Linked DNA regions of Mus musculus. The protein of the gene in region 2 purifies or fractionates together with the protein of the main gene of each other region. This does not show direct contact. Links are inferred from orthologs where the notes say so. Each region holds a gene or a part of one and is shown on either strand. Other genes may lie near its edges.

What was found.
Region 1: the proteins of Map4k1 (region 2) and Nudc purify together in Homo sapiens (affinity purification with mass spectrometry; 3 studies listed by BioGRID and IntAct, with this or other methods). This does not show direct contact. The link is inferred for Mus musculus from reciprocal best matches to the Homo sapiens genes MAP4K1 and NUDC.

The regions. Positions count from the first base shown.
Region 1 is NC_000070.6:133,543,060-133,547,493, forward strand, and holds the start of Nudc (nuclear migration protein nudC), read right to left. Parts: upstream 2,969-4,434; 5' UTR 2,827-2,968; coding exon 2,746-2,826; intron 1-2,745. UniProt on the Homo sapiens protein: Plays a role in neurogenesis and neuronal migration. Necessary for correct formation of mitotic spindles and chromosome separation during mitosis. Necessary for cytokinesis and cell proliferation.
Region 2 is NC_000073.6:28,981,123-28,985,721, forward strand, and holds the start of Map4k1 (mitogen-activated protein kinase kinase kinase kinase 1), read left to right. Parts: upstream 1-1,731; 5' UTR 1,732-1,833; coding exon 1,834-1,932; intron 1,933-2,092; coding exon 2,093-2,150; intron 2,151-2,267; coding exon 2,268-2,358; intron 2,359-2,960; coding exon 2,961-3,025; intron 3,026-4,599. Other genes in the region: Eif3k (eukaryotic translation initiation factor 3 subunit K), read right to left, coding at 552-610. UniProt on the Homo sapiens protein: Serine/threonine-protein kinase, which plays a role in the response to environmental stress. Appears to act upstream of the JUN N-terminal pathway.

The DNA.
Region 1 (4,434 bases), on a different chromosome or scaffold from region 2:
GGTTTACAGTCAGCCTCAGCTATGCAGTGGGACTTGTCTTGTTTCCCACAGAAATGCTGGTTTAGTTTTTTGTTTTTTGTTTTTGTTTTTTTGGTTTTTCGAGACAGGGTTTCTCTGTATATTCTGGGCTGTCCTGGAACTCACTTTGCAGACCAGGCTGGCCTCGAACTCAGAAATCCACCTGCCTCTGCCTCCTGAGTGCTGGGATTAAAAAAAAAAACAAGCAAGCAAAAAATACAACCAACAACCAAAACCACAAGACCTGTGAAAAGCAACTTAAGAGGGGAAAGGGTTTATTTTGACCTATAGTTTCAGGCTTGGCCCATCACAGTGGGAAAGACAAGGAGCAAAAGCGTAGGGAGCCGGGCGGTGGTGGCACACGCCTTTAATCCCAGCACTCAGGAGGCAGAGGAGGCGGATTTCTGAGTTCGAGGCCAGCCTGGTCTACAGAGTGAGTTCCAGGACAGCCAGGGCTATACAAAAAAACCAAGTCTCGAAAAACAACAAAAAAAAAAAAAGCAAAGCTTAGGGAGATGGTCACGTCACATCCACAGCAAGCAGGGAGCACTGAAAGAGTGTCTTGGCTCAAGTGTTTTATGACAGGCCCATGCTCAGTCGACTCCTGGGGAGAAGCCCAAGCTGGCGCAGGCCCCCAGTTAGCACGACGACTCTCACTTGCCCCAGCCCCAGCGAGAGGTTCTGAATCTGAGACAGCCATCCCTACCTCTAGACACTTTGAGTTCACAGAAACAAAGTGGATTCACTCCCAAACACTTTCACATTGTGTCAGTTTAGGAACACGCAGACAAGGTTCACATTTGCAGATTAGACAAGACTCCCCCGCTTCAAGGGTTTAGAAGCCCTCAGTTAACACAGGCACCTAGAGAAAAAGACTTCGAAGGTGTGGCAACCAGTTTTATGTGCCTTGACACAAGTTAAAGTCATCAGAGAGGAGGGAACTCCAATTAAGAAACTGCCTCCATTGGATCAGGCTGCGGGCAAGCCTCTAGAGCAGCTTCTTAAGGAGAGATGGATGGAACCCAGCCTATTGGGGGCGGTACCATCCCTGGGCTGATGGTCCTGGGTTCTAGAAAGGCGGAGCAAGCCAGTAAGCAATGCCCCTCTATGGCCTTTGCATCCGCTCCTGCCTCCAGCTCTGGCCCCCCACTACTTTTGATGATGAGCTGTTCTGTGAACCTGTGAGTAAGATAAAGCCTTTCCTCTCATCAAGCTGCTCTTCCTGCTTCATCACAGCAGTGGTCACTCTGACCAAGACAGAATGGAAAGCCATCCCCAGTGACGGGTGGCAGGAGCCCGTCTCCTCGGGGACTTGGGGGCCTGGCTTTGGGTAAACTTGTCACTCTCTGACCCTCAGGTGCTTACAGAATGTAATATCTGGGTTTTCTACCTCTACCAGCTCATCTGCTACACACCCACTGTGTGAACTAGGTCTGGCCATTTAACATCACCTATGGGTTATTTGGGGGTTATTATATTTGTGGGTCTTACTATATATCCCTGATTGGCTTAGAAGTTGCTATACAGACCAGGCTAACCTCTAACTTGTAGCAATTTTCCTGCCTCTTCCTCCCCAGTGCTAGGACTCCAGTCACGCACCATCTTATCCTGACCAGCAAGATGAATCACTGGGTAAAATTGACTGCCTCAAAATCCTAGCAACTCAACCCTAAAAACCCAGATACTGGTGGCAGGAATAAACTGGCCCCTTAAAACTGTCCTGTCACAAACACTACTACTACTACTAATAATAATAATAATAATAATAATAATAATAAATTTCTTTGGTTTTGTTTTTTTTCTGAGACAAGGCTTCTCCGTGTAGCCCAAGCTGTACTAGAACCCATTCTGTAGACTAGGCTGGCCTCAAATTCAAAGATCCACCTGCCTCTGGCTCCTGAGTGCTGGGATTAAAGCAACACCCGGCTCCAAATAATTTTTTAAAGCAAGAAACCCTCAACAAATTCCCCAAATGCAAAGCCTAGTCTCTTCCGTGTCTGCATCCCCAGGACCCAGTCTTATTATGTGTCTGGTACACGACAATGACAAGTACTTAGGTGCTAGGCAGGGTGGCCCATATCCAAGTTCCCGCACTCTGAAGACAGAGGAAGAATAACCCTGATTTGGAAGTCACTTGGTCTATATAGCAAGTTCTGCGTAAGCCAGGGATATAGAGCAAGACCCTGACTCAAGAAAAAAAAACAACAGGAACTGATATTCCTAAGCTTCACCTCACAGACGAGGTAACTGAGGATAAACCAGGAGGGAGCTTAACCTACAGGTCTCCGGCTCACTTCCTCAGTCAGTATACTTTCAAGTATAAAGAGACCACGTGCTAACCGCCCCCCCGGGCTCTCACTACCCTACACAGTATTGATAGGCAGGCTCCACTTTGGGTAAGATGCAGATCATATCGAGAAGAGTCGGCCCAGAGATGCTCTAAAGAGTAACCACCATTAGGGATGCTCTACACAGTAACCATTAAAATGAAAGCAGAAACACCCGTGGAGCGCAGAGTGGGTGCGGAAGCTCTGGGGTCACTCTGGGACAACGAAAACTGCTCTTGGGGGCTAAGTGCAGGGCGCTGACGGCGTTGGAGCGAGACTTCACTCGCGGGCTGGGCAGACCGGAAGCTGGGACGCGGGGACCCGGGGACCCGCGCGGCCGGGGTGGGGGAGGTCTCGGCCGACCGCGGAGAAGGGCTGCGGCGCGGGCCACGTCGTTTACCTCCTGCACGCCGCCCTCGTGCTGCTGCGCCATGGCCAGCAGCATGCCGTCGAAGCGCTCCTCCTCCTGCTCCCCTCCCATCGTGCTGCGCCCCGAGCTCCGCACTCGCGTTCTGCGATGCCCGCGCTCCCCACGGTTCGCGCGGGCCCAACGGCTCCCCTCGCTAGCCTTCCGCAGCGGAGCCGGAAACACGCAGGAGCCGCCCGGCCGTGCGGGTTCGCCCTTCCCGGCTTTCTTCCCGCCTCCCCGCCCATCGGTGCCCATTGAGCTCCCGGAACACAACCCGCTTCTCTGGCCATTGGCTAAGCCGAGGAGCAAATCAACAGTCGCGGTCCCAAGGCAGTGGGCGGGGCTCGCTGCCGCAGAGTTTGGCTTGAGTTGCTATGGTCACCAGATACCTGGGAGCTTTCTAGAAAGCTCTGAGCTCACATCTTAATAGGGCTGGAAGTTTTGATCAAGTGATACTGTTAGCCTTCTCCTCCTACAAGCCGCAGTTAAGACTCAGGAAGAAAGCACTCACCAAAGGGTCAACCTACTAGACGTTTAAGAAAAGAGCACAAAACTGTAGTTTGAGTAGAACAGTTTTACAAACTGTTTGCACTAGGATTAATGCTCTTTCATTACTGTCTGAAAATCCTTAGTTTTTCTGTTTTTTTGTTTGTTTGTTTTGTCGTTGCTGTTGACGGCAGAGGTGATGGCTTGTTTTGTTTTGTTGAGACATGCCCCGTGTATCCAAGGCAAAGACAAACTTGTGTTCCTGGCCTGCCTGCCTTCACTTCCAAGCACTGAGATTGCATGCAGGCTTGTATAGCCTGAAGATTCCCCACCGCCGGCGCGTACATTTATTTATTACTTTGTAAACCTGAGAGTGCTATACTGTTACAAGATTATTACATTAACTTTTCCAGAGAGCCTGGCTATCTCACACCTTGGAATAGGAACTCTTAAGGGTTGAACGTCACTCCCAAAGAGCAGGTTCCTTCTATCAGATTGAGGTCTCTGAGAGCTGGTCTGGGTCATCTCCATGTTAGAAGCTGTGCTGATTAATTTTATATCAACTTGACATTAGAGTCAGCAGAGAGGAGGGTGCCACAATTGAGAAAATGCATCCTTAAGATCCTTCTGTAGGCAAACCTGTAGGGTGTTTTCTTAATTAGTGATTGATGGAGAAGGTCAGCCCACAGTGGGTGGGGCTATCTGTGGGCTAGTGGTCTTGAGTTCTATAAGGAAGCAACACCTTCTATGATCTCTGCATCAGCTCCTGCCTCCAGGTTCCTACCCTGTTTGAGTTTCTATTCTTACTTTCTTCAAAGATGGACTAATATGTGGAAATGTAAGCCAAATAAACCTTTTTCTCCCCAATCTGTTTTTGGTCATAGTATTTCATCACAGCAAAAGAAACCCTAGTACAAGCCAGGCAGTGGTGGCAGGTGCCTTTAATCCCAGCACTTGGGAGGCAGAGACAGGTGGATTTCTGAGTTCGAGGCCAGCCTGGTCTACAGAGTGAGTTCCAGGACAGCCAGGGCTATACAGAGAAACCCTGTCTCAAAAAAAAAGAAAAGAAAAAAGAAAAGAAGGAGGAGGAGAAGAAAAAGAAAAGAAAAGAAAAAAGAAGAGAAGAGAAGAGAAGAGAGAGAAGAGAAGAGAAGAGAAGAGAAGAGAAGAGAAGAGAAGAGAAGAGAAGAGAAG
Region 2 (4,599 bases):
TAACTGTACAACATCCAGTAAATGTTTTTCCTAACATGGGCCTCTAGCTAGCCCTACTTGAGCCCCTGGTCATGTCTAGGATGCCTCCAACCTCAGTCAGTCTCTGCAGCCCGTATGTTTTCCTGAACACCTTCTCTTCGATCCCGTTCTGACCCAGTTCCATCCTCTCCTGCCTATCTCAATACGTGGCTTGACCTGACCAGGCCCTGATCGCTCCTTATTGTCACTATCTGCTGAATGGGGTTGTCGCCAGGATGGAATGGGAACCTAAGTCCAGGAACGCAGGACCGGTTCCCGTTTCCATCACCTCCGGTCCCCACTGGCCAAATAGACATCAGAAAACACTATGTAGGATGGTCCACAAGGACAGAGAAGGAAGAGACTAAAAGACACCGGGAGTCTGTGGCAGCAGAAAAGGTAAAGTTGAGGGACGGAGAGAAACTTGGAGAAACTCCATCTCTGGAGGAGCGTGGAGCCCTGGCCACCCCTGGCTGGCTCCCCGTCTTCTCCACCCCGCTTGGCCAGAGAGCGCCCTTCAGCGGAATTCAGACCTGTCGATACCCTTGAGCAACTTGCCCACGTTCGCTCTCATCTGCTCAAACATCGCCATGATCACTGTTGCCTTCGGCAGCCTCAGCTGGAGTCGAACACCAGGCACGGTGCTTAGCACTAGAGGACCGGAAGAGAGGTGTAGGAAGCGGAACCTGCGTCACACCCTCCCTCCAGCTCCTACAAGGAAGGCAAAGGGAAAGGCGCTTTCAGCACCAGCGCCGGTTGTTTTTTTTTTTTTTTTTTTTTGTCTACCACGTGATTTCCTTCCAGCAGTTGTAACTTGCGCATGCGCAATGAGCTCACTTAAAAGAGACCAATAGCGTGAGAAAAGGTTTAGTCTGCCTTACTACGCAGGCGCCAGGAGGCGGGCTAAGCTTTTCCCGGGCCGCGCAAACTTAGTACTTAAGCTTCTGACGCGCGTGCGCTGGAGTTGTACGGGGAAAGGAGACTTTATTTTCTCTACGCATGCGTAGCCTTAAGCGTTTAGCCCCGTGAAGGGTTGCTGTTTCCTTTTCTTTGAGTTTAGTCGGGTGGGAGATGCTCTCTGAAGCCCTTCTTGTCTCCGACTTGGGTGCCTGAGACAGCATCTTGTATGTATCTTCACTTCCTCGCTGGTCCCCACTCGGTTCCGTACTGCTACAGTGCTGTTAGGAGGCCGGGAAGGCAAAAGACACCTGTAGTCTCCATCGGCTCTGCGTAGGGGCTACTAACAAGTGTTCCACGTCTGCCACAGATTCCCTACACGTTTGAAGCGTTGCACAGACATGTGCCATGCGGGCAGGTGCCCTGAGCTCAGCTGTCACTTAAGTCACATGCATGTGTCACGAGTAAACAGGTCTTCTGTGAAACCTAGCCAGCTTTGTGCAGACCTGCAACCTCTGGCTTGATTCCAGATCTTCAAGAACCCAGCAGAGGTTCAACCGTAACCTATGACTCCTCCCAAAATAGAGTGTTGGGGAGAGGGTGCTAGGTCAGCCCCAGGTTGCATTTAAGAACTTTTGCATCTTATTTACATAGTGTCCTTCAGTGGGTAAAGGGGAGTCCCATGGGTCCCAAGGCGATCAAACTCTCAGAACCCAGGGGACGGGGGTGGAGCCCTCTGTGCAGCCCTCTGCACAGCCCTGCAGCTGGGGCAGGAAGCGAGAGTGGGGAGGGGGAAGGCCACAGCCCACAGAGTCAAGGCGGGCCCAGGACTTGTGTGGAGACAGAAGGTAATACCAAAGCTTGAACCCTGAGGCCCTGTTGGCCCCCTGGGCACTGGCCCAGCCCCGGCCTCCAGGAATGGCCCTTGTGGACCCCGACATTTTTAATAAGGACCCTCGAGAACACTATGATCTACTGCAACGACTGGGTGGTGGAACTTATGGAGAAGTATTCAAGGTGAGAAAGCCCTTCTGTCTCCTCCACCACAACCCTGGGATAGTTGGGGAGAGGCTGGCAAGCAGGAGTGTAAGAGAATGCCAGGCCTTGGCCTTGGTTCAGAGATGCTGAGGATGGCAAGCTATGGAGTCTGCCTGATGACCAACTTCCCCTTTACAAGGCTCGCGACAAGGTGTCTAAGGACCTGGTGGCTTTGAAGATGGTGAAGATGGAGCCTGGTGAGAGCACCCCCAGAAACTTCTTCCCCATCCCCGCCCTTTCCTTCCTGGGATACAGGGACATTTCTGTAAGCCCCCGCTTGTAGCCCACCTTCGCTCTCCGGCCCCTCCCCACAGATGATGACGTCGCCACCCTTCAGAAGGAGATTCTCATGCTGAAAACTTGCCGGCACGCCAACATCGTGGCTTACCATGGCAGTTACCTCTGGTGATGTCTTAGCCCATCCCCCAACCCCAGCCCCTTAACTCTGACCAGGTCTCCACTCCTAAACTACCATTTGTGACCCAGATACCCTAACTTGACTTCCAACCTGAGGACTTTCACTTTTAATTGGGGCATCCCAGTCTGATTCCCAATCTGAAATTCTGCCTTTCTTACTGAGTGCCTGCTAATTTTTAAGGGCTAATCTAGAACCCTCCTCGTTGTTGTAATCAAATCTCTCACTAGTCTGCTCCCTGCATCACCCATTTTTATTCTGCTTCTTTAATTTGAGCTCTCAAATTTCTTGGCTCCCAAGATAATATCTCAGCTGCCTCAATAATGGCATCTTTTCCTCAAACCCGGGATTCTTTGTCTTGTCTGCTTCGCCATGGGTTCTCTGCCCTGTCCCCTAAATTACCTTGGGGTGGCAGTGGGGTGCTCTTGGGTTGGAACCCAAAGACCTAAAAATTGCTCTGGAATACACACTTCCTGGCTATCCTCAGCCTCTGCTGTCATGGGAACAGGACACTGTGTGGTGGGCGGGGGAGTGAGATAGCCCCGGGAGGTCTCACTACCATTGTAATCCCTGCTCTCTTGACGCCCTATAGGCTGCAGAAGCTGTGGATCTGCATGGAATTCTGTGGAGCTGGTTCTCTCCAGGACATCTACCAAGGTTAGAAGGACAAGGGGACAGAGGCCCCCTTCCACCACCAGTCCACCTCTCCTGTCTCTCTCTGTGCTTGTATCCTGGAAGCTGACTTCCCAGTCTACACCATACCATCAGCCCGTGCACTTGGCTGTTGCTGGGGATCCCATGATGGCCCTGCCCTCCAGCACCTGTGGGTCTTGCCTGTCTTTTCCTGGGCAATAATCCCCTTCACTTCCATGTCTCTATCTTTGTCTGGATGTCTATATTTTCTTGCCAAAAATTATTCCTGGGTTGGGGCAGTTTTGCATTTTCTTTTTTTCTTCTTTTTTGAGATGGGCTTCTCACTATCACCCCTGGTGTTGATATTCAAGGCATTTGCTACCATGCCTGGCCTATTTCTGCATTCTCCAACTCAGATTAGTTGTTCAGATTTTCAGGTAGGCAGTCAGTAAATTTCTGGGTCTAGCCTGCAGTCCACCTTTCAGGGAAATTTGAGGGTAGGAGTCCCATAGGCCTGTCATCCCTTCTGAGTCTCTCTCTCTCTCTTTCACACACACACACACACTTTTTTTTTTTTTTTTTTTTTTTTTTTTTTTTTTTTTTTTGCTATAGTGAGTTTTGAACCTAGAGTCTTACGTTTGCTAGGCAACCACTCTGAGCTGTATCCCTAACACCTACCTCTTTTTTTTTTAATTAATGACTTTATTCTTTGAGGGTTTAATTTAAATTAATTTATCTATTCTTTAAGAATTATAGGTAGACAATGTTTTTTTTTTTTTTTTTTTTTTGAGACAGGGTTTCTCTGTATAGCCCTGGCTGTCCTGGGAACTCACTTTGTAGACCAGGCTGGCTTCGAACTCAGAAATCTGCCTGCCTCTGCCTTCCAAGTGCTGGGATTAAAGGTGTGCGCCACCACGCCCAGCTCTGACAATGTATTCTTAACACATCCCTTCAATTTCTCGTAGATGCTCCCCAGCCCTCTTTTTACTTATTATTTTGTGGCAGGCCGGCCTTGAACTTGCAGTCTCTCTGCCTTAGCCTTTTCAGTAGCTAGTCTTCTAGCTACTGAACGGCCCGTCTTCTGCCACCAGGCCCTACACCTCAGCCTTTTCTACAGTTGTGGTGTTCACCTGTCTTACTCTCTCTAACTCCCCCTACCCACGATTTCAAATTGTCTGAAAAGGTCTCCCTTTAGCTCAGTGGTAGAATGCCTGCCTGGTAGGATGGATCCAGGTTCCAGCTTCCATCCGGGCAACACAGAACCTCCCCCAGAACGGGAAACTGAGGCCGATAGGCAGGAAGTGACTCACCCAGTCATTGTGTAAGCCCTGGTCTCTGCCCGACACCCTCTGTCCTATCTTTCTCTTGTCTCTTCACTAACCCCGCTTGTCTTCTAAAATACGTCTATCTCCCTGCATTGGGTCTCTGCTCATCTCTTTCTCTGCCTGACACTGGGTCTGTCTGTCTGCTGCTGCCTGTCTCTGTATCTTCGCCATTGCTCATCTTGCCTGCCCTCACATCACCCCATGCAGAGACTCCCTCGTCTCCCATCGTCCTCCATGAGAAGCTGCCCTTGCTCCTTTTCTCCTGCAGAGCGG